Tamandua tetradactyla: one gene and its partners. The protein of the gene in region 2 purifies or fractionates together with the protein of the main gene of each other region. This does not show direct contact. Links are inferred from orthologs where the notes say so. Each region holds a gene or a part of one and is shown on either strand. Other genes may lie near its edges.

What was found. The genes of interacting proteins can lie anywhere in the genome.
Region 1: the proteins of IQGAP1 (region 2) and protein diaphanous homolog 1-like purify together in Homo sapiens (affinity purification with western blotting; 3 studies listed by BioGRID and IntAct, with this or other methods). This does not show direct contact. The link is inferred for Tamandua tetradactyla from reciprocal best matches to the Homo sapiens genes IQGAP1 and DIAPH1.
Region 3: the proteins of IQGAP1 (region 2) and MYL6B purify together in Homo sapiens (affinity purification with mass spectrometry; 3 studies listed by BioGRID and IntAct, with this or other methods). This does not show direct contact. The link is inferred for Tamandua tetradactyla from reciprocal best matches to the Homo sapiens genes IQGAP1 and MYL6B.

Annotation. Positions count from the first base shown.
Region 1 is NC_135346.1:21,752,690-21,760,538, reverse strand, and holds the start of protein diaphanous homolog 1-like, read left to right. Parts: upstream 1-4,839; 5' UTR 4,840-4,958; coding exon 4,959-5,075; intron 5,076-7,849. Other genes in the region: HDAC3 (histone deacetylase 3), read left to right, coding at 2,363-2,432. UniProt on the Homo sapiens protein: Actin nucleation and elongation factor required for the assembly of F-actin structures, such as actin cables and stress fibers. Binds to the barbed end of the actin filament and slows down actin polymerization and depolymerization.
Region 2 is NC_135338.1:98,911,176-98,918,545, forward strand, and holds the start of IQGAP1 (ras GTPase-activating-like protein IQGAP1), read right to left. Parts: upstream 3,012-7,370; 5' UTR 2,920-3,011; coding exon 2,865-2,919; intron 514-2,864; coding exon 414-513; intron 1-413. UniProt on the Homo sapiens protein: Plays a crucial role in regulating the dynamics and assembly of the actin cytoskeleton.
Region 3 is NC_135333.1:123,210,807-123,218,208, forward strand, and holds the start of MYL6B (myosin light chain 6B), read left to right. Parts: upstream 1-4,392; 5' UTR 4,393-4,522; intron 4,523-4,759; exon of another isoform or gene 4,760-4,886; intron 4,887-5,764; 5' UTR 5,765-5,810; coding exon 5,811-6,005; intron 6,006-6,741; coding exon 6,742-6,769; intron 6,770-6,986; coding exon 6,987-7,130; intron 7,131-7,351; coding exon 7,352-7,402. UniProt on the Homo sapiens protein: Regulatory light chain of myosin. Does not bind calcium.

The DNA.
Region 1 (7,849 bases), on a different chromosome or scaffold from region 2:
GAAGTAACTACGTTAATAGTTTGATTTGTTCCTTTTCAGACAGACCTTTTTTTTTCGGGTAACAAAAGTACTGTTCCACATATAAACACACATACTCAGAGTTAGTGGTTTGTGCTTTAAAAAAAAAAAAAATACAAGTAAGATCATTCTATCCATGTTGCTCTAGAACTCACGCCTGACTTTTTTTTTCCCTAACAAACAGTTCCTCTTTCCATCAATATATGTAGATCTGCTTCATTATTTTATCAGCTATGTAATATTCCATAGTGTGGATATAGTTTAATTTAACCAGTTAGCATGGATGGATAGATTATTTTCCATTTTATCATTACCCAAAAATGCGGCAAACAACCCCTTACACATATACCTGCTTGTTTGAGTAACTCAGTGGGTTAAATTTCTCTGCTGAGAATTGTCACTGCTAGTTCAATTTTAGTGCTGTGCTCACTAAAATTTTTTATATTTGCAGCCAAATTGCCTTCCAGAAAATCTGCAGCAATTTATGTTCTTGCCAGCATTTTACTCACTCCTTCCAAGTCACTGCCCATATGCCCTTTGTTCTCTTAAGTTTTTCAGAGTGATAATGGTGTTGTGGTTATGTTTTTTAATGAAGCCTTTATCTTTCTGAGATACAAGCTAAAATATAGATGCAGTGAATTGTGGATAAAAATAAAAGTATAGAATTCTTTTAAAAAAAAATCCCAACCTATTCTGAAAAACAAAGGAAAAAGATAAAAGAATCCAGAAGTACAGAAACAGATGTACCTATCAGAGAACAGGTTTCCTTACGTGACTGAGAGATAACCATAACAGTGGCAGAGCTTTGAGCTGGCCCTGTTGGAGAATCTAACAAGCTTTTCAGTTTCTTCCAGAATCTACTTCTCTGTCTTAGAGTTCAGGCCTCCAGAGCTCTCCTCTGGGCCTGGGCTTACCGCTCTGACCCTTGGAACTCCTACAGCACCCCACCTGAGTACTCCTTTATCCCATTCCTAGAGGAAGCATCTAGACATCCGGCCCCAGGCCTTCCCTTTTTGACCTATCATGTCTTTTTCAGCTTCTCCAGGTCACTGCGACTTGACTTCTGGAAATTGGTTTTCACTGTTTGGTTTGGTTTGGTAAAGTCTGTTATTACAGCTGGTTCTTCCTTTTGACAAAATTTGACTTTTTCATTTATAGTTCTGACTGGCATCTGAACCTAGTATCTGCATTTTACTGTCCACTGCAGAAGCCTCGGGCTACTTCCTTAGCCCTAACACACTGTTGGACCACTTACTCAGTTCCTGTTCTTCTTTGAGAGATGCCTTTCGCTCCAGTAATAATAATGAGTTACCATTTTTTTGTGGGTTTGTTAAGCAACAGACTCAATGCTAAGTGCATTATAAACAACATACATATCTTTGGGTCATCATCCTATCATCATCAGACAGCCCTAAGAGGTGATTATTATTCTCAATTGCCAGAGGACGAATCCAAGGCTCAGAGAGATTAAGTAACTTTCCTTAGATCACACAATATTGGGCCCAATATTGTTTTCATAGTCATTCTGTCACTACAGATTTATAACATCATGTCATTCCACTGCTTAAAACCTTCCTTTTCATTGCACCTAGAAGAAAATCCAAATTTCTGACCATGGCTTAATAAGGCCCTGCACACTGGCTCTTACCTATATCCCTCATCTCATCTCTAACTACTCCCTTCCATGCAAACTATTCCTAGCCATACTCGCCTTCTTGCTCTTACTGGAATACATAAGTCTACCACATGACCTCTGTACTTGATTTTCTTACAGCTTGGAATAGTCTTCCTGAGATCTTTGCTTGGCCAGCTCCTTCTCAGACTTCAGGTCTTAAATTCCTACAAAAATTTCCCTAATCATCTTGTCTGAAATTTACCCTTTTCCTCCCATCACATTCAGTCATGTCACTATTTCATTTTATTCATAGCACTTTCCACCATCTGAAATAATCGTGTTTTTTTATTCTTTGAGGGGAGGAGGAGGGGTGCCTGGTCTGGGAATCGTACCCATGTCTCCCGCATGGAAGGCAAACATTCTCCCACTGAACCACCCATGAACCCTGCTTTTATATTTTTTAGGTTATTGTCAGTTTCATTGTGTAAGCCCTTAGAAGGTAGAAACATTATCTGGCTTCTTTACTGTATTGCTGAAGTCTGTGACAGTGCTTTAGCAATACAGTCCCTCAGTAAATGTTTATTGAATACATAAATGGATGAATGATAGCAATCTTTCTCTATCAGTAGGAGGAAAGGAGTGGTTCCCTGACAGAGGGGGTCTGAGAAGTAGTTCCAGAGAGGGGAACTTGGAGACTGGAGTCCTGATCTCCTTCCCGTTGCTTTGCAGGCCAGAGGCACCCAATGAGTTCTATGATGGAGACCACGACAATGACAAGGAAAGTGACGTGGAGATTTAAGAGTGGCTTGGGGATGCTATGTCCCAAGGACTTCCTTTTCACCTCTTGATTGGGCAGGAGGGAGAAGACGTGACTTCTCTATTCCTGGATATATCACAACCAGGGAAGGGTTCGGAGACCACATCTGGTTCTAGAACCAACTTCCCCTTTTCCTCTGCCTCCCCAGGCCTGACAGTGGTACCTGTTGGGAGGGGAAGGAAGCAAAGACAGCTGTCTCTGGGTTACCTTGGGCAGTGGGCCCTAGGAGCCAGACCCCAGCCCCTCTACCTCCCTTATTCCTTCCATGCTTCCCTCCAACCCAGAGACTTCAGCCTAAAAGGGTAGGCAGGACTGAGGTTGCCTCTGATTCCTTCATGCCTGGGTGTTCTGCTGTAGGCTGTGCTTCCAGGACAGGTGAAATATGAGAGGTTTCAGGGGCCTCTGACTCACTAAAACCTTAATCTCAGATAATCTGACGTATGGTTTTGAGTCAGGGGAAGATGTGAAAATGTCATGTTCTAACTTTTTTTGGCTTCATGTCCATTTTACCACTGTTTTTATCCAATAAATCAAGTTGGTATTTTTTGTACCTTTTGCCTTTCTGGGAGTGTTCTTAATTCCTGTTAGTGTTATCTGCCCATGTGTGAAGGGAAGAAGAAAAGGGGTAATCATGCTTATAATAAGAATCATCATTAACATTCATTCAGCACATTATTTTATGTTAGGACCTATTATATATTCTATATGGATTATTTTACTTCAACTCAGGGAGTTAAGCATTCTGGTTGAGTTAAACAAACCTGGATAGATTACTAGTTTAAGAGAAGAAATAGAAGACAACTTCAGGGTTTTGAACCTGGGTTTTGGAATAACAATGCTAGTTGCTGACTATAAATTACAATAAAACATGTCAAGTGCTTAGCACCGTGCCTGACAAAAGTAGTTATTAGTCTCATTATCTTATCTTTGTGTAAGGAACAAAGCTAGCTACCATAGTAGCCACAAAACATGGACCCTTCTCTGGAGTGGTTCACAATCCAGTAAGGGAAAGAGTTACAAGTTCACATGGATTGTAATAAATGTTATAGTACATACAGACAGTGGTACAAGAAAGAGGAGTAGTAGATGAGCCACTCTTTCCATCCTTTGATCCTATTTGTTTCTCAGCACTCCAGCTTAGTAAGCAGTTTTTGAACTCTTGAAAAAGTTGAGTTTGAAGTGTGGGTTGGACAGCTTGATACAACTTTCTTTCAGGCAATTAGAGGGTCTGGAGCACCAGAGAAATGAATACCAGATTAGGAGCTAGCCAGTTTGACACAGTCTCTGCAATATACCAGCTCTTGGACAGGGGTACCAGAGTGAGTACGCTGACCTTCAGGAATGCACACTTGAAATCTTTTGTCACCAGTGATCAAGGCAATTCATGCTGTGGGGTCATACTGAATATCTACTTTTCATACAAGGGACAGGTGCCAAGGGAGAACGTCACACTAGAAGAGCAAAGAACATGCTCTTGGAGAACATCCCTTCTTTTCACTCATGTTCAGTTTATGTCAGTGGAGAGTCCTGCTTAAAAACAGGGCTTGCCAGTCAGACTAACCAGTGTTTCTTTTTTTTTTTTTTCTTTTCTATCAAATTTGTGTTCTTAGGCAAGTCACTTCAACTCTCACAACCCTAATATCCTATCTGTAAAATTGGAAGACTAGTAGAATCTATCATGTGGTCTAATGAGTGAGATGATACATGTGTGCTTTGCACAGTGCCTAGCACAGAGCAAATGCTCAGTAAATGGAACTATTAATACTGTCTAGGCCAATGTTTGGAGTAACTAGTTTGTCCAAATTAGAACTACAACTAGAAAGTAGCTGACCTGAGATTCGAAACTAGGCACTCTAACTGCGGAGCTAGTCTGGTTCAGGGTTTAGCATGGACCATGCTCTATTCTTGGTATTTAGCTGTCAATAAATGGCAGCTGTCACTTTCAATGTAATCTACGTGTATTTCACATGTAAGAACTGCACTATCCCGGAAAATCCGGCACTAAATTTTCTGTCAGGGTAACGGTACCTCTGATTCGAATTTTGGCTCAGATTATAATATCCCGGTCTGAGTGAGAGTAGGTTCAGGTTTGACAGACACGTGGAAGCTGAGTGGGAACAAGGAGACCTGGTCTTCGCCGCTCGTACAGCCAGGGAGCGCTGTTGCCAGTCGCGGCCTAATCGAGCTGTACCGCCCACTCGTCATCCCCCACGTGGGCCGAATGGTTAGGTCCGCGGGCAGGTAGTGTGCTTCCGCGACTCCCCTCCACCCCTTTTCCTTCCCCCATTGGTAGGGGCTGCGCGTCCGGGCGGAAGTGGGGCAGGCGGGCGGGAGCGAGGCGTCACCGTTGTATATTCATGAGGCGCGCGCAGCCCGGCATGCTAATGAGGCGGGGCGCGGCGGCTGGCTAAGGAGCTGCTAGGCGGGCGGTGGCGGCGGCGGCGGGCGCGGTGCGACCCGTCGGGAGCGACGTAGGCGCGGGGGTCGCCAGCCAGCGCGAACCGGGGCATGGAGCCGCCGGGTGGGGGCCTGGGGCCCGGCCGCGGGACCCGGGATAAGAAGAAGGGCAAGAGCCCGGACGAGTTGCCTGTGGCGGGCGGCGACGGCGGCAAATCCAAGAAATTTGTGAGTGTCCCTCCCACCTGGTTTCCTCTGCCCGTCCCCACAACCGGCTCGGGACCCGGGAAACCCCAGCAGCCGGGCCTAGGGGCTCCCGCCTATCTCTCGGGAGCCGCCCCCGCGCCTACCTTCCTTGACTAGCTGGGTCCTTGGCTCCTCAGCCCGACATCCTCCTCCTCTTCCCGGACCTCGGGAAGCCCCGGAGTCTCACCCGGTTCTTGCCCCGGTAGCCGCGGGGCTTCTTTCACTCTCCAGCCGGCAAGCTCTGCCCTCCGTCCTCACAGCCCCGGCCAGCTCTCTGCCCGGTCTCTCTCCTCCCAGCCCCACTTCCTTTCTTTCTCTGTTACCCGCTCACGGCTTCTCTATCTTGATCTCCTATGCTTTCCTGGGTCCATTTACCTCCCCCCCTCTTTTTTTTTGTAATCTCTTATTTCCTTATCCAAAAGGTCACTTCCTTCCCCATGATTGATCCTTTTCACCTGCTAACTTTCCTCCCTGCCCCGTCCCCACTCTGGGCCCTCAGCCCGGTGTCGCTTGATAATCCTTCCGCTCAGGAATGTTACCTGATTTGGACCATGTGATACAGGAATAGGTTCCTGCTTAGGTCCTCTGGTCATTCGGCCTTGGACGTTAATTATTTGCTTCCCAATATTTCTCTTTCCAAAAAACCTGTTTCTTTGCCCTGTTGCTTAACACTTTTCAGGGGTTTAGAACTTCTCCCAGGATTATGCCCTTCTCCACCTAGGATGGGAATAAACCTCCCCCATGGGGAGGAAGTTAGTAAGTTCAAGAAGTTTGTGAGTAATTGAATTTTTTTATACATTTTCCGTGATAACCATCTCCTCAACTCCTCTTCTGCCACCTCCTGTGCCTCAAAGCTGCTCACTTCCCTTTTCCTACCTGTCGAAGAGTATGGATTTCCTCAGGTGCCAGTTACTTCCAACCTTAGTCTGGAGAAATAATTGCTATTCATGTAATCCTACCGTATTTCATTACCTTTTGCCCACACTAAATCTTTTTTTCCTTACTCCTCTCTGCAGGGAGCTACTTGTCTACTTTTTATCATAAAAACAGAAAGATTTGGGGCACTGTCCAAGAGAGGGAAAAGTCTTTGATCTTAATAATCGCTTGTTAGTTGTAACTGTGTTTTAGTCTTTCCCTCTAGATGGTACAGCGTCTCCCTCCCCTTCTACTGACCAAATGGTTTATAGCTCTTCTTTCTGTTTTCTCTTGTCCCCAGCATTCTGACCCAACTCCACAAGTTTGGGAAATAGTGGTGGAAACAGGAAGAAAATATTGTGAGGTTGAGATGTGGAGAGTACTAGTACAAAATAAAACAGTGACTCATCTCTTTTCTACCTGTTTCTAAGACCAGGTGCTCCTGGACTCTCCTTTCCAGTGATTTACAGGCTGTCGGTAACTGCCTGTTTTTATCTGGTGAATATCTTTTTGTCTATAAGTGTAGGATTAACAGGAGTGTCGTCCCCCTCTCCCCCAAACCTTTGATGATTAAAGCAGCATTTTCCTATGTTTCTTTAGGCTAAGAATTGACCCTCTGGTTTGAAAGTTTCCCTTCTAAGACTTAAGTTCTAGGGCCCATACTCCTTCTGGTTTCTGTATCTTTTTGTTTTGATTTTGTTTCCATGGGTATTGTTTGACCTTCCTAACCTGAATTCCCACTGCTGATTTATAATAACTTTTGTGACTTGTAAATATTTTTTCAAATCTTAGTGGAATTTTCTGTGTGTTTTTGTTTTATCTAATATGGGTGTGTTTCGTGAATTTGTGAATCATTCATGTGTGATGCTGTAAGGTGAGAGCACCTGTTTTGGGAATGTCACTGAGTCTTCTTTGCTGAATGAATTTGTCTCAGAATAGTTGGTATTTGCTTTAGAGAGGGTGGAGCCGAACCAAGTTCTCTTTTTCTTTCTGAGGTGTTGGTCTTAACCCTTAACCAGTTGAAGTTTTAAAAATATGTAGTATAGGCAGTGAAGAGATTTGCTTTAGTAGCTAGGGGATTGGAAGGTTCCCAGGAAAGTAGTGCAGCTTAACTCCTTTATTGCCAGGTATGACCTGCCTCAAGTCATCAGAATATTCTGTTTGAATTCTGTGGAAATGGAAGACTAGGCACATTGCAATGCACTTCTCTCTGTGTCAGTGTGTGTGTGTAAGTGTGGGCGGGCGGTGTGGGCAGGATTGCTGCAGTGCTTTTGTTACCCATGGCTTGGTTTTCTTAAACTGCAGGTTAAAACGGAACTCAAAGCTGTTTCGCCTACTCCACGTTTTCTAGAGTGTGTGGCCTCTGGAACACCATTAAGAGTGTTTTTATAAAACTGCGCTGGTCTGGACAAAGTGTGCCTGGAGGTTGTTTGCATCTGAGGGGTAATATTAATCCCTTTAGCTGCTACATACCTTTCTGGGTTTATAGAGGTTCTGTGTACAGATCATCGAATGAGAAAACAGAGCTCTTACCCTCTGAGGCAATCTTGTGTGGAAAGGAGATAGAGAGTCTTAAATTTAAAAAGTGTTTGGACACCGTCTTTTAAAATATATGATTATTAGAGAGATGTTGACATGAGTGGCTGAAGCCAGGCGACCTGGTACTCCCCCTTGGTTTTTCATGTGTCTGTCTTCTCCCAGGCCCTGTGCATTTCCCTTCTCCAGGATCATTCCAGTTGTGTTTGGAAGTCCTTAAGATGAAGGAAATAAGAGAACTATAATTAAATGGAATGTGGAGTGTTTTCTGGACTCAACAGCAGTGGTAAATGTGGGTGTCAAAT
Region 2 (7,370 bases):
CTCCCTACTCCTAAGCCTCCTAAACCACATACCCCTCCACTGCCATGGGGAGAAAGGAATCAACTCATACATAAACCAAAACCAGTGATAACGAGACATTAAAAAAGCCAAGAACTTCAAATTCTAAAAATGCTATTTCTTTCCTACAGCTGATCATGTCCAAAACATGCACCATAAATATTAAACTGAACAGCAAAAATCTGAAAATTCTTCAGTATACATAAATGTCCACCAGTGTTTCATAATAAGCTGCCATCAAGACCAGTCGCTCCCATGAGTAAATAACATGCCTATATTTATTCCTTAGACTATCAGCCTCAGTCACACCTACAACACATTCAGAGATCTTTATCTGTATCCATATCACATCAGTTTCCTTCTCCCAATCGTCTCTCCAGCCAGCCAATCCTTACCTCTTTGCTTCTTCCAAATGACAAAGGTACTCATAAGCCACATTCTGACGTCTCCTTTCATCCATCTCCTCTGCAGTAAGTCTCTCATTATCCAGGACAGCTGAAACATGAAAAAGAAGAACGTAAACGTGGGGCTCTGTAACCTTCCTGATCGATAAAAGAATGCCAAAGCATCAAATTCCTGTGAGTCACTAGAGGTTCAAGGTAACCATGGGCTGCATGTATCGCCAGGTGCACTACAGTGGCTTTCCTGAAACAAGAATTGAGGGGTTTCAACTACACTAATCTTACACTCTCTTCTAGGTACAATATGAGCACGTACTCAATTTTAACGTGACCTAGAAAAATACTGTTTCTTGAGATTTGGGCCTAAATTTGTCCTTGTCTGTCTGCCAGAACTCTTTCTAAATACAGATCTGACCCTGTTGTTCCCCTATTTCACGAACAACCAAAGCCAGCGGTTACTGAGAACAAAGTGGCAGTAATTGTTCTAAGCGTTTTACATGCATCCTCTCATTGAAACCACACAACAACCCTGTGATTATCACTCCCATTCTACAGATGAGGAAAGTGAGGCTGGGTGAGCTCAGCCCCACAGCTAACGCAGGCAGTCTGCCTCCAAAGCCTGTGAGCTTACCCTGGAAGCAATGTGCCTCCTTCACGGACACCCAGAGCACCCTAACTCCTTGGCAGAGCTAGATTTCTCAATCTAGCCCCAACAACTAGCCCCAACAAGAGAAACACATCTCTTCCCTCTCCCTGCCCTTTCCCCACCACTGTGCACAGTGCCCTCCTCTTTATGACCTTCCTTCGTGCTCTTCCCTCTTCATGTGTCTTGCCCCACCCCACCCTGTCAAACTTTACACATCCTCCTGGACGTCGCTGCTCAAGTGTCAACACCTGTGCTCACACTGCCTTCTTCAAACCCTCCTCTTCACTCACTGTTTACTGCTTATGACCAGTCAGGTCACACGTACTTTATCTTTACCACACCTTATTATCATTAGGTTGCAGACCTCTTTGTCTCTAATTTTAAATGTTCTTTGAAGGCAGGACCTAATCTTGCCCATATTCAATTTCCCAGATGTGGCACAATCCCTCACACATAACTGTTTAAGAGCAAAATTATCTTAAAAACAAAATTTTATTCCCAAATATAAATACACATGAAACCGCCAAAGACTCAAAAGGACCCCCTGTGGCCGTGGTACCAGCCCCTGCAGTTTAATAATGTCTCATGGACCCACAGAAAAGGAGGTTCCAAGAATGAGGAAGTCCAAGGGTGGATTTTCTTTTTCTACTTTTCAAATCCTGAAGAGGGAACTAAACCCTAGAAAGCTGAAGTGACTCGCCCAAGGCCGCACCTCCCCACTGGCCTGGGAGCGCACAGGACCCCCGAGGACGGGACAGAGGCCACGAAGACAGGACAGGGCCCCCAGACCCAGGGACCCCTAGGACAGGGCAGGGACCCCGAGGACGGGACAGGGACCCTTGAGGACGGGGCAGGGCCCACGAGGACGGAGCAGGGACCCCGAGGATGGGGCAGGGCCCCCGAGGACAGGGCAGGGACCCCGAGGACGGAGCAGGGACCCCGAGGATAGGGCAGGGCCCACGAGGACAGGGCAGGGACCCCGAGGATGGGGCAGGGCCCCCGAGGACAGGGCAGGGACCCCGAGGGCGGGACAGGGACCCTCGAGGATGGGGCAGGGCCCACGAGGACGGAGCAGGGACCCCGAGGACGGGACAGGGACCCTCGAGGACGGGGCAGGGACCCCGAGGACGGAGCAGGGCTCCGAGGACGGGGCAGGGACCCCGAGGATAGGGCAGGGCCCACGAGGACGGGGCAGGGACCCCGAGGATGGGGCAGGGCCCCCGAGGACGGGGCAGGGACCCCGAGGACGGGGCAGGGCCCACGAGGACGGAGCAGGGACCCCGAGGATGGGGCAGGGCCCCCGAGGACAGGGCAGGGACCCCGAGGACGGAGCAGGGCTCCGAGGACGGGGCAGGGACCCCGAGGATAGGGCAGGGCCCACGAGGACGGGGCAGGGACCCCGAGGACGGGACAGGGACCCCGAGGACAGGGCAGGGCCCACGAGGACGGGGAAGGGCTCCCGAAGACGCGGTAAGGCCCGGGCTCGGTGCCCAGGACACGCCCTGTGCCGTCCTGCCGTCCCCCCCGGCCGTCTCTCCGGGGCCGAGCGGGCGGCGGGCGCTGGGTGGGGCTCCGGGGTCGCAGCGCCCGGGCTCCCAGGGGCCCTCCGGGTCCGCCCGCCGCTCGGAGCCGAGCAGGGCGCAGGGACTCGTCCCGCCACCCGCGCTTCCTGCGGCCCAGCCGGCGGCCCTTCCGGGTCCACGCGGCCCGCACGCCCTGCCCCACCGCCCCAGGCCGGGAAACGGCGCCGCAGAGGCAGCGGGCCTGGCCCCGGAGCCCCCGCGGAACCCCGCACTCACAGCCATAGTGCGGCCGGGCCACGCCCAGGCCGTCGACCTCGTCCGCGGCGGACATGGCGGCCGAGCCGGGTCTCTGCTGAGGAAGCGGAGAGACCCAGGACGCGCGGCGGGGGCTGCAGCTCCTGCCAACTGCGCGCGCGGAGGCGCCGGAGGCCCCGCCCCCAGGCCCCACCCTGGGGGCCCCGCCCTGCCGCGCCGGCGGGAGCGGGCGGAAGGGGGCGGGACCGAGCCGCAGGCCCCGCCCCATCCCGCCCCCTGGGTGCGGGCCCCCTCCCCCACGCCCCGCGCCTCCGCAGCAGCGGCCGGAAGGAGGCGGAGTCCGCCCGCCGGGTTTGCACCGACTGGGGCCGCCCCGGGCCTCCGAGACCCGCCAGCGGAGCCACCGCCCTATCTGCAATTCTAAGGGAAGGGCCGCAGAGTCGGCGGTTTGAAATCAAAACCGTGGGCCACCTCCCTTTCCCTGCCTGCTGAGCCAAGCAAGCTCCTTTACATCTTACTTTTTTTCAAGAAAAAAGGAAAGGGAGGCATCCATTATAAAGATATATATGGGCCGGAATTGCAAAAACAGGTCTGATGGAAGCTTGAAAGGATGGCTCTATTCCTCTGGGCATCTCTGCCTCTCTGCAGGTCTGTTCCACCCTCCTCGTTGTGGGAACCAGCCTTCTCCGTTCTCATTTCTCCGGCTCCTCCACAGCTCTGGCTGAGGAGCACCTTGATTTTCCAATTCCATAGTCCACAGAGTGGCATATGATTGGACCCAGTCATCTTTTTACCCCATAGCTAAGTCTCTGGCCATCCATTGACGGGTTGTCTTTGGTTCAGATGTTGGCTGATCTTTTACTTCAGTCCACTGCGGCCAGGAGGTATGGCCAACTGAGGAATAAAACCTAGGGGCTGGACATTATTGCCTTCAATGGGATGGTCCGGTAGGCAAACAATGATCATATTTCTAAGATGATGGTTAAGTGAAAAAAAAAAAAAAACCAAAATTATGAACCAATAAACATAGTATGATACCATTTCTTTTTCTTTTATTATTTTTATTGACAAATCCAAACAAAGTACAAACAGGAACATTCTTAACATACAAGTATTTCATACATGGTGTACAATCAATAGCTCACAATATAAGATACCATTTTTGCTTGAAAAAAATAGAAAGTACTTAGGATGGAATATACGGTGTGTGAATATATCTCACTGAAATTGCATTTGCAAAAAAAGAAAAAGAAAGAGATGCATATGAATTTTAAAAAGCCATGAATCATATACACCAAAATGTTTAACAGTTATTTCTCCAGGTAGCAGAATTACAGTAGAATTGTATGAGAGGTTTTGTTTGTCTGCTTCTCTGTGTTTCCCAAGTTTTCTACAATGAGCTATTAGAGATACTATTTTATCAGCAAGTATAAATATGAATAAAATTAGTAAATATAAAATAAATACATGGTGAAACAATGAGCTAAATAGTCATTCTGAGTAAAAATGGTTCATGACCTTGAGGCGCTTAAATGCTAGTGGGAGTAAAACAATTAACAGGATAACTTGAGATAAGCATCATGATAGAGATTTCCCTTTACCTGGAATACTTGATAGACTTTTACCTGCCTTGGAACACATACTCAATTTTCCAGACTTAACTTAAATGTCACCTCCTCCCTCAAGCAAAATTAATCATTTCCACATTTGTCACCCAGAAGCAGTTTAAAAACCATATGTCTTCAAAAATAAGTCCAAGATTTTCACATTTTAATGCTTTTGAAATCAAAATAGTATTTACTAAAAGACAGATACCAGGTAGAGAAGTATATTGTAACATAATTGTCATTGCTTGCACATATGTAAACTTAACTAATTTCTCAGAAAAGGTCAGAGAAATTTCAGAGCTAGAATTGATGACAGGAATGACTAACTAGGTACAATAGAGTTGGGCTCTTCAAAAAAGCTTGGCTCCAACTTTGATTTAGAGAAGAGGTTGATAAGTAATCCCCGGGAAGATGTATGTTATTATCAATCAAGTTTTTAGTGTGTGTGTGTGTATATATATATATATATATATATATATATATATATATATATATATACATATGAATGATAGGATATTTCTTAATGGCTCCAAAAGCTGTTTTTATTTGCTGGTGTACCCTACAGTGAAAGGTGTCTTCAACTCCAAGTGTACAGTCATATATGGCTCTATTATAGCACGTGGCCCATTGAATTATTTACCTGTCCATCTTCCCAGACAGATTATTAATCCCCCAAAGACAGAAAATCAGGTGAAAAGAAAATTCATCATGAATAGCTAACAAATACAGGATTCTTACTGTTGAAAATTTAGGATTTGATTTCTATATAATTCCCATAGAAATTTCCCAGAAGTATGGTTTCCCTGGGACAGAGAATAACACTTCTGATTTGATAAGATGTCTCATATAAAAACATATTGGGCTTTTGGAAGCCAGTTTCCTGTGAAGAGGCTGGGAAATCTGAGGCAATAGTTTCTCAATACCCCTGAAGATGAAGGGTGAAAGATGCTGAGGGCTAACTTTTCATAGAATTGTAGCTATTCTCTGGAAGACAGATTTCTAAAATGGCCACCTGAGTCCCAGTCCTAGGTATTCAATCAAATATGAATCTAGCTTTACCCTGGGGCCTCCACCCAGGCTGGATCTCCTGAAGGGCTCTGGACACATGCGAGGGACCACTAGGGATTTGGGGCAGGATTTCCCCACATCATGCCTCTTAGTATTTACTAGGGTTGACAAATGGCTTACAAATAACAACAGCTAACTTGTAATGAGTGCCCAGCCCTTTCTAAATGTTTGGTATTCATTCTTTCATTTGACCCTCACAACCACCCTGTAACATAGGAATTACTAGAATTCTCCAATTTAAAAATGAAGAAACTGAGACTCAGAAAGGTTAACTAACTTTCCAAAGACTACACAACTTGTCAGTGGCACAGCCAGGATTCAAACTGCACTCACCTCAAGATTGGTGTATATGAACACTATTATCCACATGTGTGTCAACTGTAGTGCCCAGTAGTGGCTGCCAAAAGAGCTGAATTGAAAGATTTGTCCAGATACATCTACCAAAAAATGTGATGGACCCAGACATGACAAAGAACTCATGAGGAGTTCACACATCAAGACAGAAATCTGGGAGTACTGATAAAGTGTGGTGGTTTGAAATGACGTATGTACCCTAGAAAAGCCATGTTTTAATCCTAATCCCATTTCGTAAAGGCAACTGTTTCTTATAATCCCTATTCAGTATTGCATGTTTGAAACTGTAATTAGATCATCTCCCTGGAGATGTAATTTAATCAAGAGTGGTTGTTAAACTGGATTAGGTAGGGGCATGTCTCCAACCATTTGGGTGGGTCTTGATTAGTTTCTGGAGTCCTATAAAAGAGGAAACATTTTGGAGAATGAGAGAGAGATTCAGAGAGGGCAGAGTAGAATGACATAGCCACGAGAAGCAGAGAGCCCACAAGCCAGCGACCTTTGGAGATGAAGAGGGAAAACGCCTCCCAGGGAGCTTCATGAAACAGGAAGCCAGGAGAGAAAGCTAGCAGATGATGCCTTTCTCACCATGTGCCTAACAGCTGAGAGAGAAACTATGACTGTGTTCGCCATGTGCTTTCCACTTGAGAAAGAAGCCCTGAATATCATCGGCCTTCTTGAACCAAGGTATCTTTCCCTGGAGCCTGAGATTGGACATTTCTATAGACTTGCTTTAATTGGAACATTTTCTCAGCCTTAGAACTGTAAACTAGCATCTGATTAAATTCCCCTTTTTAAAAGCCATTCCATTCCTGGTATATTGCAATCTGGCAGCTAGCAAACTAGAACATAAGGTATGAGTTGATTTTGACTAGATGATATGAGTGTCCTAGAAAAGATATTATGTGGGCAGGGCTTTCAGAGAAGACCAGAGGGAAAGGTGAGGAAGAGTACTAGGTGGAAAAAAAGCATAAGCAAAGCCAGGAAAGGATTTGTATGGGCATTGTGTGCATGCATGTATATATGGGCTCTCCATACTGCTTAGCTCATTCCAGTCTTCTCGAAGGGCAGGAGCCATAGGATGCTTCAAAAGGTCCAAGAGGAACCTTTTTGGAAAGATGTTCACCTTCGGCAGAGAGTGTGACTTTCTCTTTCTTAGGTACCACGGGTTGTAGGATGGGGGTGGTGGATGTAGACTTTTGGTGTCAGGGGTCTACACCTAACCTCCTTCCTGCCCCCCATAATTGCCCTCTTCCTTTGTCATTCTTTATTCCCTTTAGACAGGTATTTTGTGTGGCAGAAAGCTCACTTCCTTTATTGAATGTCACTTTTTATGTCTTCTCCAGAAGTGGCATGCAGAAAATCTTACTGGGTGTTCTAGTTTGCTAGCTGCTGGAATGCAACACACCAGAGATGGATTGGCTTTTAATAAAAGGGGATTTATTTTGTTGGTTCTTCAGAGGAAAGGCAGCTAACTTTCCACTGAGGTTCTTTCTTA
Region 3 (7,402 bases), on a different chromosome or scaffold from region 2:
GGTTGAATAATATTCCATTGTACGCATATACCTCATCTTGTCTGTCCATTCATCTGTTTATGGACACTTGGGTTATTTCCATCTTTTGGCAATTGTGAAAAATGCTGAATGAAACTGATGTACAAATATTTTCTGAGTCCCTATTTCGGTTCTCTAGGGTATATACCTAGAAGTAGGATTGCCGGAACATATGGTAATTCTGTTTAACTTTCTGAGAGTTCACTAAATTGTTTTCAATAGAGGCTGTACCATTTTATATTCCCACCAACAAGGTATTTGTTGCATCCTCACCAACACTTATTTTCCGTTCTTAAAAAAATAATGTTCTGGGTGGGCCACGGTGGCTCAGCAGGTAAGAGTGCTTGCCTGCCATGCCCGAGAACCCGGGTTCGGTTCCCGGTGCCTGCCTATGTAAAAAAAAATAATTAAAAAAAATAATGTTCATCCTAGTGGGTGTGAAGTGCTATTTCACTGTAGTTTTGATTTGCATTTCTGTTATGACTAATAATAATATTGAACATATTTTCACATGCTTATTGGCCATTTGTATATTTTCTTTGGAGAAATGTCTATGCAAATCCTTGGCCTATTTCTTAATTGGGTTGTTTGTCTTTTTTATGTTTCTCTTCCTCTTGTGGTATAAGGATGTGATATCTGGAACTGTTACAGCCAAGCCATATCCGGCTCCAGGAGGGGAGCCAAGAAAGAAGCAGCTAACCTGAAGGAGGACATTAGCAAGAATATTAAAGAGAACGGATCCCTTTATTATGTCATGATCTGTGGATCAAACTGAACAAAAAGCCCACCCATCTCTTGATTTTTCATGAGCCAATAAATACCCTTTATCATTGAGCCAATTTGTTAATTTCTTTCTACCTGCAATTGGAAGAACCCTTAACAGGCTTTCTCCACAAATCGAATGGCCTTCATTTCCACTGCCCTTTCAACCACCCACTCCAATGGCCACCCATCCTAGGTCTAGTCTTCCTCTGCATCCCTTGTAGTGTTAATCTCAAATGCACTATTTTCTCCAACTACAACTCTTGAGCTCTCCAACTATCTCATTTCTTCAATCTCACTGAGACTCCTTCCCCTTAATGTCTTTCCATATTCTCTCAATCCAATAGCACCCTCCTCTATATTCATTCTTTCTTTATTTGGCCCGGACTAAATTTGTGGATTTACCTCCACAAATCTCCAACTCATTATAATATTCCGTCTGTCTTTCCCTGGCTCAATCATCCAGGTGACTACTTCTGGAAGAAGGAAATCACTACCTTTTGTATTGGCTCCATCACAAATTCATGATCTATCATTGCACCCAGCCTCCGTGTTGCTCAGCAAGTCCATGTGCCACACGCACAGAAGATAATTAGTAAATGCTTTTCAAATGAGTATTTTTGAATGGGTATCCAGTAAGCTATTCACAGTACCTGCTTCAAACCTTCCTTACTTTCTCAAGCCACCTCCTCCTATTTCCTCTCTTAGCAAATCAAACAACCTAACCTTCTACTTCAGGGTGAAAGTTAGAGTCCAAAACACAGGGAATTCTCTCACCTTAATCCCACCTATCTCCCTATTGACTTACTAGTATTGGTGCTCATCCTTGAGTCTTCTCATTTACCCAGATATCCACTTATTCTATGAATATGAGTGCTGAGAACATCCCAGGTACTGTGCTCTGCTTGGCCTTGGGAATACACCTGGAGACTAGGTGAAGGGCATAAACGACAAATGCCAACAGCCTGAGTAAAAAGGACATAGGATGCCTTTGAAGATATGAAAGCTAATAGGTGTGGCTGGTACTGATGGCTAATGATATCGAACATCTTTTCATGTGCTTACTGGCCATTCGTATATCTTCTTTGGAGAAATGTTTATTCAAGTCCTTTGCCCCTATTTTTATTGTGTCTGTCTTCATTGTTGAGTTGGGGTTCTTTATATATTCAGGCTATTAAACCCTTATTAGATATATGATTTACAAATATTTTTTCCTGTTCTATGGTTTGCCTTTTCACTCTCTTGATAGTGTCCTTTGACGCACAAGTTTTAAATTCTGATGAAGTTCAATTTACTTATTTTTTTCTTTTTTTATCTGTGTCCTCCAGGTTTTTCATGTATTACTTTCCTTTCAAGAGATGCCCTTTCACATGACTCCCACAGACTTCAGGGACGTGCCTGAAACTGTAGAGCTGTGTTTCAGTAGCCTTGATTCTTAAAGACAATTCTATAAGTATATAGCTTTTACACTGTGACTATGTGATTGTGAAAACCTTGTGTCTGATGCCCCTTTTTTCCAGGGTATGAACAAATGAGTAAAAAAATAAGGAAACATAAATAAACAAATAATAAGGGGGGGATAAGAGGTAAAAATAAAATTGGGTAGATTGAAATATTAGTGGTCACTGTGGGGGGTAAGGGGCATGGGATGTATGAGTTTTTTCTTTTTCTTTTTTTTTCTGGAGTGATGCAAATGTTCTAAAAATGATCATGGTGATGAATATACTATGTGATGATACTGTGAGCCATTGAGTGTATACTGTAGATGGACTGTACATATGTGAAAATTTCTCAATAAAAATATTTAAAAAGAAAGAGGTGCCCTTGCTAATTATGTTGAGATTAATATCACAATAAATATGCAACCACTAATCACCTGTAGGTGGGGAGGGAGGAGAGGAGAAAGAATAGGCATTTGTCACAGATAACCCACATGATGATGTCTAAATCACCTGTATCCAGTTAAAACTGTGTTCAGTCCAGTTTTGTTATTCATGTACAGGAAATGAAGACTAGTCCTCCAACCTGTTTGTGGGAAGGGTTTGCATCTTTTCTCCTTACACTACTTCTCAATAAGGCAGCCAGAAACACAAATAATTCAGCTGATGGCATAACCCCTCATTTTGCAAAGTGCCAAGTGTGGGCTACAGCTAGGAGAAAGGAGAAGAAAAAAATCAGATAAACCACATCTTCAAAATCAACTTCTCTGTGTGTTGCAAAAAAAAACGTGTAACGTGGCCCTTCCCCAAACAGTCTAGTAACTAAACAATTGTGAGAAACGTATTCTTTCATCCTATTTCTTCAAACCTACTAATCATGCATGGATATACAATGGGGGAAGATACTACCTACTTTTTATCTTGGCAAGATTAAATGAAATTTATTTTACCTAGACAAACACTGTGCCAAACCTGTTCTATTTTACAAATATTAGCATAACCCGATCATCTTAATAACCCAATGAGATTTCATTGTCCTCACTTTATAGATGGAGAAGTTGAGATACAGAGAGATAACCTGCCTGAGGTTATTAGCATGTGGCAAAAGGAAGATTTAAAAAAAAAAAAAAGAGGATTCAAATCTGAGCAGGCTGGCCTGAGTACTCATACTTTTAGCTTTTCTTATGCTGTGTCTCTGCGATAATTCAGTAGCTAAATGCGGTACCTGGTCTATGAAGGCCTGGAGGAACAGAATGGCTGCTAACATCACCATCATCATTGCTATTTCTGTTAATACAATCTACAATCCATTTTCTTTCCAAGAAGCTTTCCCCAACCATTGACCACAGAACGTCATTTAGAGCTCATAAAGTTCATCTGTGCCTCACACAACTAACTCCCTGCCTCCCATGGGATTCCTGAAATCCTTCAGTGACTGAAAAGGGAGCCCGACCGGGAAGGTTCTCTCCCTCACCCAGTACAGAGGCAGAGGAGACCCTCGATACATGACAAGCGGGAATGGGTGAAAATGTCTGGGGAGAATGAGTGAAGTCCAATGCTAGGCAGAGGTGTCACAGAATGAGGGGTGGAGAGCACAGCTGCACCCCAAAGAAGCGTCCGAAGAGCGGGAAAGTGGCACAGATGTGGCCGCAGGAAGAAGCTTCGACCTGGAAGAGACTGGACAACCTCTGAAGCAGGTGTTCGGGCTTAATTCCAAATTTTAAAGAACGATCAGCTTTTTAAAAAATAATACAACTTTGGAAACTACTGCTCAAAGTCACACAGCAACTCAGTGACCTCTGTTCTATCTCTACCAAACTACTAGTGGAAGACGAGACCGCAGCCACTCTCCCCGGGCCAGTAAGTGCTTCCTGTTATCTGACCTCCATCCCGCCTGCTGCAGCTTCACCATCTCGCCTGGTTCTGGGTCCTTCTCGCATCAGCAGCCCTGAAAAATATCCTCGCCCTCACTAAACGAGAAACTCACTAGAACCAAGGGGGCTATCCTGAGGGACCTCGCAGGATTTTAGGGAGAGGGGTGAAGTTCTTAATTGCTCACTGCCTTAAAGTTCCGGAATAAAAAGCGCGCTCGAAAAGCTCTGAGTCACCAACTGCCTTCAAAGGCCGGAAGCCACCGCCCCGCATCCGCTTCCACTTGGAGAGCCGCGTTTCCCCGAGCGGCGGACGCCCGCGGACTACAGCTCCCGGCATGCCCCGAGGCGGCCGGAATTAACCCTTCAGGGACCTGGCCGCGTTGCGCGCCGCCCCGTCCCCGCCCCCGTCCCTTCCTCGGACCCCGCTGGGTGAGTTTGCGCGGGCTGGGGCGGGGTCCCTTCCTTTATTTCAGACTTAGGGATGTGTGTGTACTCTCTAGAAGGAATGAGGCCTAATTTTCCTAAAATGGGACCACTTGCGGTTGCGAGCTTCAGAAGCTTTTTTTTTTTAACCACCCAGCATCAATTCTCTGAACCCCAGGGCCTAAATGGAATCACTGCTCTCTTTCCCTGAATGCTTCCTAAATCCTCCCATCCTTCCCCCAGGTCAAAAGTAGCCAGCAACCTGTCCCATCTACCAAACATCCCCAACTCCCACCCTTCCCCAGCGCCCCCAGCAAGGCTTGTGACCTGGCACCTGACTCAGGGCTTTTATTTCCCATCTGGTTGCGGGGTGAGTACTCTCTCTGGGAGCCCATAGAATTACTCCCCCACATCCTTTTGGATTAGAGAAGGTCATTGCCACCCAGAGCCAGCTCCCCACCCCCAGGTGCCACCACGGTCTCAGTGGGGTCGGCTCGCACCCCATAGGTTGCCCGACTTGAATGACCGTAGGCTTGTGAAAAAGGGTTCCTTCCTTGGCAGTAGCAGTGGCAAGTACCTGATCCTTGTCCCTACCTCCACCTCTAAAACAGTACTGGAAAGAGGAGACAAAGGCGGGGAAGAGATGCCGCACTCTCCTTACTGTTACCACTGTTTATATTGTGTACAGCTCCAGTTCTGGGCTAGGCGGTGGCCGGGGACTACAGGTGCTGGATGTTAGGCTGTGGGATCAGCTACATCCCCCCTCCCCCATGGTCAGAGGCGGGTGAAAGGATTGCTTGTTTTTTTTTTTCACTTTTCTCTGCCCCAGCCCCTATGTTAATTTACCCCAATTCACAATGCCCCCTGCCCTGCCTCAGCCTTCAAGAGTCTAAAGCTGCTACTCAAATAGTCAGGGGCCTAGGGGCCTGTAATGCCTGGATCCCCTTCTTTGGTACTGGCATGTATCCTGTCCTCACCCCGGAGGTTAACTCCCCTATCCTGGACAGTCTCTGGCTTCCTTTCCCTGCCCCCAAAGGGGACATTGTTTCAGCCAGTGTTTGGGGGGGGCGGGGGCAGTGGGCAGAGCCAGGAAGACCTTGGGGCAGGAGTCATGAACCTTAGCAGGCCAAGGGAGTGAGGGCAGACAGGCATATCTCTCCTCTACCTCACCCTGGCCACGGCCAACTGGCTCCCTGCCACTGCCCACCCCCCCCTTTGACATCCCAGACTCCCTGGCTATTTAAACAGAGATGGATGCCCCCATTGACACACTGTCCTTTGGCCACCGGACATCATGCCTCCCAAGAAGGATGTTCCCGTGAAGAAGCCACTGGGGCCCTCTTTCTCCAAACCTGCTGCCAAGCCAACAGCAGCCCCTCCAGCCAAGCCCGCAGCAGCAGCCCCTCCAGCCAAGCCCACAGCTGAGCCAGCTGTTCCCACTGCCCCTAAAAAACCCGAGGAGCCCCCCATCGACCTCTCCAAAGTGGTGGTGAGTCCTCAAAAAATGAGGATAGAATTTGGAGGGGGTGGTAAGAGGGTGGGATACAACCTAGGGGATTAGGGGGTATGTGGAAAGTACAAAATCAATGAGCACTGAGATGAGATTGGGGGTCCCCTTGGTCCCCTATTTGGAAGCATCCAGGCTCGTGTCTCTGCTTTTGTGTTTGCTGTTCTAATTTATAACAAGTGTGAATGTTTGTGTACATGTTGCATGCATGTGTGCATACACACATTCACTGATCCTCTGCTGGAGATGGGGACTTTTAGGATGGGAACATCTGGGTTCTAAGAATAGTCTCAAGGTGAAGGGAGATTGCTGCTGCTTGTCCCTGGCTTGCAGTTCAACTCAAAAGGCCATAGCTTTGAACCCTTGGAGGAGAGGCTGAAGAGGACAGGCTTGTTAGACAATCACAGCTGGGGGCAGGGGGTAAATTTAGCCTTTGTTCAGCCCCCAGTTATGTGAGGGATGCAGGGCTCAGGGCAGTGGAGGGAGGGGAACAGGTGGCATGGGATTAAGCCTGCTCCCAGGAAACCCTCCCCCCATAATTCCTCCTCTTGGGATTCTCCCAAGGCCCAGAGCCGGGAATGGGACTGAGGTAGTTGGGCTTCAAGCCTGTTCCCTTTGGGCCCCTCCCCAGAAGTGGCTGCCAGTTGGTTGGGAGGAGTGTTGGAGAGGGATTTATTAAACCCTGTCATCCCTCCTCACCTGCTCTTTTCTTCCACAGATCGAGTTTAACAAGGATCAGCTGGAGGGTGAGGAAAAACTGCCCCCTTAGCCCACTGTCTAGCCCCAAGCCCCTGCTGAGATACTCTCTCTATTCTCTTAACTCCAGTCCCGACCTTGAAGCCTCCCACACTAGTCGTCTTTGTGTCCCTTGTTCTGCCCAGCTCTAGCTCATAATTTCAGAACCTTCTTCGTGTCTGGTGATGGTAACTCCTGGTCAACACTGATCCTTCTCTATAACCTCAGAGTTCAAGGAGGCCTTTGAGCTGTTCGACCGAGTAGGGGATGGCAAGATCCAGTTCAGCCAGTGTGGCGATGTGATGAGGGCCCTAGGCCAGAACCCCACTAACGCCGAGGTGCTCAGGGTCCTGGGAAACCCCAAAAGTGATGGTGAGGGGATGCTTTGAACATTGTGGGGTTTTAAGTCGATGGTGGAAACCAGGAATGTTGATAATATGGCTGAGGATGCTGGGTGGGTCTCAGAACTTCAAACACAGGGGAAGAAAAACATCCTGAAATGTTAAACAGGGTGGAGAGGATCAAAGCCTTCCTGGTAGGGATGGGAGCTGGATCCCGATGACACCACAGTGACCTCTCTCTTACCTCGCCAGAGTTGAGGTCCCGGCGTGTGGACTTCGAGACTTTCCTACCCATGCTCCAGG